Oryza sativa Japonica Group: one gene and its partner. Each later gene encodes a partner of the first gene's protein in a complex. Links are inferred from orthologs where the notes say so. Each region holds a gene or a part of one and is shown on either strand. Other genes may lie near its edges. The genes, in order: cBL-interacting protein kinase 23 and calcineurin B-like protein 1.

Region 1 (4,256 bases):
TATGAAGAATGTAATGCTATGAGCTGAATGGTGTGAGAGCTTACCCCAGATTCATTAAAAATAGAGTTGATATCATCCAGGTTAACATCTGCTGTCTCAAACCTTGGAGGCTGATATCCCTTCTTGAACCACTCATTGTTGATAAGCTCTGCGATGGTAATCCTCTGCACAAGGAGATAACGATGGGATAAGCTACTTATGTATAAGAATGCTCCAAAGAAATGAAGGTTAAAATGCTGCAAAACATACGGTGCTAGGATTAGGATCTAGTATTTTCTTGATGAGCTTCTTCGCACTTGTAGAGAACCAAGACGGGCAACTGAAGTCTGCTTTGAAGATCTGGATGAGCAATAATCACATTAATCTTCCAAACAAAAACTTTGTTTAGGGTTCATAAACCAACAATCCTTTGACATGGTTAAGAGGGACCAACCTTCTTGTAAAGTGACATGAGGTTTGAGTCTTCAAATGGAAGGTAGCCTGCCATGAGGACAAAGAGAATCACTCCACATGACCACAGATCAGCCTTGGCTCCATCATATCCTTTGTTGTTGATAACCTGCACAGACAATATTATTGAAACATGAGAACAAATATTTTTTTAGATAAGTAACATGAAAACAAATATTCAATCCAACGATGATAATAACTATATACTAGTTTAATGTATGAGTGTAAGAAGGTACCTCGGGAGCAACATAATTAGGAGTTCCACAGGTAGTGTGCAACAGACCATCCTCCTGCAGAGTAAACAGAAAGATATGCAGCACTAATGTAAGAACTTTATTCAGATGGATCTGAAACTATCTGTATTACCATGTGAAAAGATGTAGAAAACAAATGGAATCTACAGAAAGCAATTGAAATGCTAATTTTTTTACGACTAACAACTCTCGGCTTTTCATCACTTTGAATAAAAGGAAACTCTCCACAAAAAGATAATAAAAGAATAAATAGGAAGAGTCAAATTACTTACTCTGACTTGTTGAGACAGTGCACTCAGCCCAAAATCTGATACTTTGAGAGTGCCACTAGCATCAAGCAGAAGATTTTCGGGCTGAAATTGAATTTGTGTATCAATTCACTGCTTCTCGGCTCTCTTGCATAGCAGTAGTAAACACCGCAAACAGTTAAACGCCGCTAACCTTGAGATCCCGGTGATAGACTCCTCTGCTATGACAGTAATCGACAGCGTTGATCAGCTGCTGAAAATACTTCCTTGCATCATCCTCTTTCAGCCTCCCACGCGAAGCCTATAACAGGAATTATGACAAATTGAACATGTGTGCATAGCATAAAGAGTAATTCAGATGTCGATAGAAAAGGCCAAGCACTCACAATCTTGTCGAAAAGTTCACCACCGGTGACAAGCTCCATCACTATGTATATTTTGGTCTTGCTGGCCATCACCTTCAGAGAAGAAAACAAAACCACTAAGTGGAGATCGACATAAAGCCAAGACAACAAAAGGAAAATATCAGAAAGCAAGAGCTAGGAAAGTTTCAGATAACACATAGTTTAGTGTCACAGGAATTTCCTTCCAGAACGATCTCTAATTGCAACTTTTCATGTGAAGGAACAACTTGTTCATTATGTCATCCTTGACCAATTTAATTTACCCTGGTTTTTCATAATTTCAGATTGCTCAAAGCCTTGAGAACCATATCTTAACTTAATTAGCAGGGTTCACAATCTCGGCCTAGAAAAAAAAAATCTGGGGGGGACCAAAATTTTTCAGAAGTTTCAAACCAGAAAAAAAATGAATTTTGAACAGGCTCTAGCTGAATTCGAACAAATTTTACAAAATTAAAAAAAAAATCCACAATTCAAGACTGGGAATCACATCCAACCAGGACCCACTGGTAGACCCGAAATTTCGAAAATTTCGAACCAAAATCACGAGCTCTGCTTATGATTAGTCGATTTCATTGGTGGACTTATCATCAGTTACAAAATTTTTCCATGGGCAAGATGAGCTGAGATTAATGATTGGAGATTAGTAAACCTCATGCATCCGGATGACGTTGGGGTGCCTGATGAGCTTCATGGTGGAGATCTCGCGCTTTATCTGCAAACACCACCACACAAACCACAAACACACATCAAAGTCAGAACTCCCCCACAAAAAGTCAGAAGCTAAGCCAAAGTTGATGCACATTAATAATAACTAACTCAGCACAAGTTCCAACGAACACTGCACGAGGCGCCCGTGCTAACCTCACGTCAAAGTCTAGGCTGTTGCAATTTTGGAAGTAAGAACGCAATTTTGGAACGATACCAAACCTTTTTTTTTTTGCAGCAAGAACGCTAGTAGTAATTAGTAATGTTTACTGTTTCTGGTTAAAACAAAATCATCACGTCTTGTCGTGAGAGGAAACAAAACAGCAGTAGTACAAACTGTTCATGATTTGGGACTCGTACGTATAGGAATTGAAATTGTCCACGAAATTCACTCAAGAACAGCGTATGATATGATTAAAAAAAAACAAGAAGGCGAGAAATTCGAACAGTACTATCATCATGGGAAGAAATCCATGGAGACCTCTCCAAATCGAGAATCGATTGGGGGGATAGAAAATAGTATGGGTGAGCTGACCTGGGCGATCATCTTGTGCTTGAGGACCTTGTCCTTGTCGAGGATCTTGATGGCGACATTCTCGCCGGAGTCCGCGTTGCGGGCGAACTTGACCTTGGCGAAGGTGCCCTCGCCGAGCGTCCTCCCGAGCTCGTACCTCCCCACCCGCGTCCTCCCGCCCGACACGCTCATCCTCCTCCTCCTCTGCTTCTTCCTCTTCCCCTGTCCCTCTCAGATCGACGACGCCGGCGAGTGGGCGAGCGGCGGCGGGCGACTAGGACCGCTTCTTGTCGCAGGGCCTCCACTGGACGAACAGCTCCGCCTCCTGCTCGCCGGCCTGCCGCTGCCGCATCGATCCTCCTCTCTTGGGACTCTCTTCTCCTCACAACCTCGCGGTCACGGCCGCAGGCATGGGATGGGACGAGCGCGGTGGTCGTCAATGGCGGCGGGTGAGGCGGGAGGTTGCAACTTACAAGGAGGTGGGTGGGGGGTGGGTATGTATAGGCGATGGCGCGGTGGGCGGCGGCGAAGGAGGAGGAAGAAGAAGAAGGCGTTTTCGTCGACGCTTCTCCCTTCTTCTCAGCTAAGGAAATATTTTACTACTCCTAGGCCATACTATTATCGTGATTACTAGCGGTAATTACTAGTAATTTAGTGCTCTCTACGTCTAGAAGATTTCATTTAATTTTGAGCGACCTAGAAGAAAAAAAATAGAATGGGAATAATAACCATGTTGGTTCATATATTAGGTTACTTTTAATGGGTGTTTCATTGTCATTGGGAAGGCTGTCACATCAGCATTTGTAATAACGTGGTAAAACTAAGGATTGTACAAGTTTTTCTGAGAAACACAGTCCTACCTCCGTCCAAAAAGAGTGTAGTTCTACTGTTTATATATAATATTTGATCTTCTGTCTTATTTAAAACAAATATAATTGTTATTATTATTATTATTAGATGATAAAATATGAATAGTATATTATTTGTGACTTTTTTAAAATTATTTCATAAGTTTTTAAATAAGACGGACAGTCAAACGTTGAACACGAAAACTCATGACTACACTTAAATTGGAATGAAGATAGTACATACATAGATGCCCATAATTGTACATTTTTAGATTGACGAAGTCACCACGAACGTCTAGCGAAAGAATAATTAGTCATAAATACGAGCGCTCGTGTTAAATCTAGAATTTGGACTTGGGTATGGGCTATTTCCATCACAAGTAATCTAACCTATCGAGCTATATAAGTTATTTTCAGTCATCAATTAAATATTTTGTTGCTTATATGATATCCTTGGAAACATAAAAATAATACCTCATGGTAATGACACTCTTATTACTCCCTCCATTCCAAATTGATCTATATATATATATTTTAAGATTATTCCTAAATGATCTACATATTTGTGTTCATTTATTAAGTCTATTCGTTATTTGTGCATTGGAGTAAATGGACATTGATGCATGCATCCATGCACACAAGTATCTATAACCCACATGCAATATCTTGATTTGCTATTGGATAGGAAATAGTGGGGATGGTGCATGCATTGAGTTTGTTGCTAGAGTAAATGTAGTATGAGAGAGTTATTAGCTTTTCTTGGTCTTAGTGTACCTATGAAATATGTAGATCAATTTGGAATGGAGGGAGTATTTTTCTACTACACTTTAATG
Region 2 (4,268 bases), on another chromosome or scaffold:
GGAATGCCAAGTTGGATTCCACGCTCAAGGGGATGGGCTTCGAGCAAAGCCCGCACGAGGCGGCCATCTACCGGCGGGGCAATGGAGGAAATGCCTTGCTGGTGGGTGTCTACGTCGACGACTTAGTGATCACCGGCACCAAGGATGCAGAGGTCGCGGCGTTCAAGGAGGAGATGAAGGCCACCTTCCAGATGAGTGATCTGGGGCCTCTCTCCTTCTACCTGGGGATCGAAGTGCACCAGGACAACTCCGGGATCACGCTTCGACAGACCGCCTACGCCAAGCGCGTCGTTGAGCTGGCTGGGCTCACCGATTGCAACCCAGCTCTCACTCCGATGGAGGAGAGACTGAAGCTGAGCCGCGACAGCACAGCGGAGGAGGTGGATGCTACACAGTACCGACGTCTTGTGGGGAGCCTTCGCTACCTCACCCACACACGGCCGGACTTGGCCTTCTCCGTCGGCTACGTCAGTCGGTTCATGCAGCGACCGACGACGGAGCACCAGCAGGCTGTGAAGAGGATCATCCGCTACGTTGCGGGGACTCTCGACCACGGTCTCTACTACCCGAGGTGTCCTGGCAAGGCACACTTCGTCGGGTACAGCGACAGCGACCACGCCGGCGACATCGACACCAGCAAGAGCACGAGCGGGATTCTCTTCTTCCTCGGCGAGTGCCTCGTTAGCTGGCAGTCAATCAAGCAGCAGGTGGTGGCCCTGTCCAGCTGCGAGGCCGAGTACATGGCGGCATCCGCCGCTTCGACCCAGGCGCTCTGGCTTGCTCGACTGCTTAGTGATCTCCTCGGCAGAGATACTGGAGCGGTGGAGCTCAGGGTGGATAGCAAGTCCGCTCTGGCCCTGGCAAAAAACCCCGTTTTTCACGAACGGAGCAAGCACATCCGAGTGAGGTACCATTTCATCCGAAGCTACTTGGAGGAAGGGAGCATCAAGGCGAGCTACATCAACACCAAGGACCAGCTTGCGGATTTGCTCACCAAACCCCTTGGGAGGATCAAGTTCCTTGAGCTTTGCTCCCGGATCGGGATGGCTCAACTCTCCCACAAGACGGCGCACAAGACTTAGGGGGAGAATGTAGGAATAAGTCTTGGCTGGTTGGTCTTGGTCTTGTGGTGCCTTTTTTCCTGTTTTTCAGCTTTCTAGGACAGCATCTCTACTTTCAGTTTGGATGCTCTAGGACAGTTAGGACAGCAGTTTGTTGAGATGCTCTAGGACAGTTTGTTGGGATGCTCTGCTCTAGGACAGTTTGTTGGGATGCTGACAGCACCCTCTTAGACTAGCATGGCTGCATGGCTGCTACAAGCAGCTATAAATATGTATCCAATCCTCTTTGGGAGGATATGGCTTTTGTGTTTAGTGAATGAAGAAAACCAGAAAATTGCCCCATCTCGAGTGCCATCCTCTTCTCAATGAGAGTAACCATTGAAATTCTAACAGCAATTACACTATTATTGTGTTGTAGTTACGGCATATTTTTGGGGGGATTTTATGTCGAACGTTAGATAGGTAGTCCCTAATTTCATACCGTGAATTTAGCTACTGATGACGTCAAGATTATAGTTCATGAGAACTAGCAGATGTGCATGAACCTGTATGGCTTCTCAGATAGCAGTTAATGAACTTCTTCGCCACGCAAGACGCAACAAGAAGATGCAAAAAACAAAAGTGAAGATGCAAGAGAAACGCATTATGTCTAGCTTTATAGCACGGCAAATCAATATTGACAAGGCAGGAAGAAAGTGACTCAAACTTTGAACTATCATTGTGTTGTTATACTGTGATAGTAGCCAGATGGTTTATATCAGGAACAAGTTTTTTCCTATTAAACTTTGAGGAAAAAAATCACATTTTGATACACAGAAAATTCAACAATTTAGAAGGCAAACACATAATACAATGAGCGGTACAAGAGGAATAAAGGATCGGGGTGTGTACAACAAAGATTCATGCTCACTTCAAAGATGAATGAATAGAACTGCCAGCATAGCAAAACGATTCACAGAAAATGGCATCCACCACATAATTTGTGCAGCTGAAACCTGAAAGACGGAACAGTGAGAAAGGCGTGGGGGTCTTCTGGCTAGCACCACAAGTTGTGGGCTAGCCGACCCAGGTTCGAGCCTCACTCCCCTCTTAATAAATTCCGATATGAGAGCACCTCCTCTCATATCCAGCGAAAGACGGAACAGTACATGGAGATATATTCAAATGTGGCAAGGTTTAATTTTGTCATTCCACAACAAGCTACAAAAGCAGATAGTAAATGTATCAGGATGCTCATAATCACACATGACATGATGCCAATATGGTGATGAAAGACGGAACAGTAGATATATTCGAATGCGGCAAGGTCTAATTTTGTAATTCCACAACAAGCTATAAAAGCAGATTAGTAAATGTATCAGGATGCTCATAATCACACATGCCATGATGCCAATATGGTGAGATACCCCCAAGAAACAGTTAGATGTTCACCTTATTGATGAGCCCATCGTCGATCACAGAACCACTAATGCTCTTGAACAGCTCGAACAAAGCCTCCACCTCACTTACGCTAACTACACATCCAAAACAACTAACTCAGAATTTCCAGTACGCCCATCGATTGCATAAATCAGATGAACTACTTGATGAAATGAAATGAAATACAGTACTGTAGAGTACTCCTCAAGTGGCAAGTACAGCAACAACAACTCACAGGCGGTCTCGGAGGCGAGGCCGACGGGGTCCTCGTACCCCGGGCGCGGACGCCTCGCCGTCGACTGGAAGCACCCCATCCCCACGCGCACCCCGCCCAGACCCGACCCACCGGAGTAGCCGAGCACACACACCCCCTCTACCGCCGCCGCGGCCGATCTCGCATCACCCACCCCTCCACCTACCCTTACACACCCACCACCACACGCCGGCGCACTCCCCCGGCGGCGCGCGCGCGGCGGCGGCGGCGGATCGGAGCGCGGAGCACGGGAGGAGGTCGGGGTTGGGGGCGGGGGGGTTTGGTGCGCGACGCGTCGGGGTCGGAGGGGTGTCGAGACGAGACGGGCTATGCCTCCTCCTAGTCCTACTACCTACGCGATAGGTGGGCCCCGAGTCCGTTGCGCCTCGCTTTCCCCCGACTTCTTTTGGGAAAGAAGACCCGCACCGCGCCCACGTGCGCGCGGCCCTTGCGGACTTGCGGCCCATGGATTGGAAGAAGCGAAGAAGGGAGGACCTCGTCGTCGTCGTCCATTCCCATTTTGGTCAGCTGGGAATATTCGCAGATTTTTTTTTCCGAACGCGCAAAACAATTAAGTCAATATATTAAAAAAAAATATTTGTTTACATAACGCAATCAGACAGACTGGCTTATGCCAAGAAAAAGAAGAAAAGACAAAAAAAAACCAAGAAAAAGAAAATGACTATTACGACGGCTAAGCGCAACTCCAATCAGCGAGAAGGGGCAGAGCCACACGGAATATTAGCAGATCATACGATTTCGCAAAGAAATTGCAAGCCAACTTGCGCTAATCTTACCTCTCGGTCACATGCAACAATTCCAGCACTAATGTGTCATGGTTTACCTCAGCCACGCGCAATAATTAGAGTAATCTAATAGTACTACTACCACAGTAGTGAACCACGACCAGGCAGATTGTTTATGTCACATCGAAGAAATTCAACATTGTTCCAAATCTTCGATGGAAGATTCTCGAGCGGATGCTTCGAATTGATAGTAGTCCCATGGTTTGCTTGGCTCATAATCATCTTTTTTTTTTGAACGACTGCTCATAACCATTTGAAATCCCTACGAAACTAGCAAGAAAACCAAGTTAACCAACGTCTTTGCTAACGATTACTAGCTAAAACTGATTAATCAATTAATTTATCGTGCAGCCCATGGTTTGCACTTTAGAAAACCGGCCCAGCATCTTTGGAAAAGAAAAGCCCAGCTCCATGTTTCTGGACACCGCCCTCTTCTGAGCGTGGGCCTCCATATAATACGTACATGGAGCCACGTGGCAACCCGGAGCGACGAAACGGCCACGTCGTATTCACAGGACACGCCACCTAATCCACGGGCCCCACTCCTACCCCGCCCGCCGATTAGCTGAGCTGACGCGTGGGGCCCACGTGACAAGCGACGGCACTCGTGGGGGCCACGTGTCGCGCACCTCGCCGTCGCCGTCGCTGCTTCGCTTCGGCTTCAAGTCCGACCAAGAGACCCTCGTCGCTTTCCGGTGACGGCGACGAAGAGAATTTCATATCCCTCCA

The links.
Region 2: cBL-interacting protein kinase 23 (region 1) and calcineurin B-like protein 1 share a complex: the UniProt entries of both Arabidopsis thaliana proteins name them as parts of the K(+)-channel calcium-sensing kinase/phosphatase complex. The link is inferred for Oryza sativa Japonica Group from reciprocal best matches to the Arabidopsis thaliana genes CIPK23 and CBL9.

The regions. Positions count from the first base shown.
Region 1 is NC_089041.1:2,656,518-2,660,773, forward strand, and holds the start of cBL-interacting protein kinase 23, read right to left. Parts: upstream 3,047-4,256; 5' UTR 2,768-3,046; coding exon 2,597-2,767; intron 2,069-2,596; coding exon 2,006-2,068; intron 1,411-2,005; coding exon 1,339-1,410; intron 1,254-1,338; coding exon 1,146-1,253; intron 1,058-1,145; coding exon 977-1,057; intron 741-976; coding exon 687-740; intron 560-686; coding exon 434-559; intron 340-433; coding exon 250-339; intron 165-249; coding exon 45-164; intron 1-44. UniProt on the Arabidopsis thaliana protein: CIPK serine-threonine protein kinases interact with CBL proteins. Binding of a CBL protein to the regulatory NAF domain of CIPK protein leads to activation of the kinase in a calcium-dependent manner.
Region 2 is NC_089044.1:22,989,793-22,994,060, reverse strand, and holds the start of calcineurin B-like protein 1, read right to left. Parts: upstream 3,045-4,268; 5' UTR 2,795-3,044; coding exon 2,716-2,794; intron 2,576-2,715; coding exon 2,493-2,575; intron 1-2,492. UniProt on the Arabidopsis thaliana protein: Acts as a calcium sensor involved in abscisic acid (ABA) signaling and stress-induced ABA biosynthesis pathways. Contributes to the regulation of early stress-related CBF/DREB transcription factors.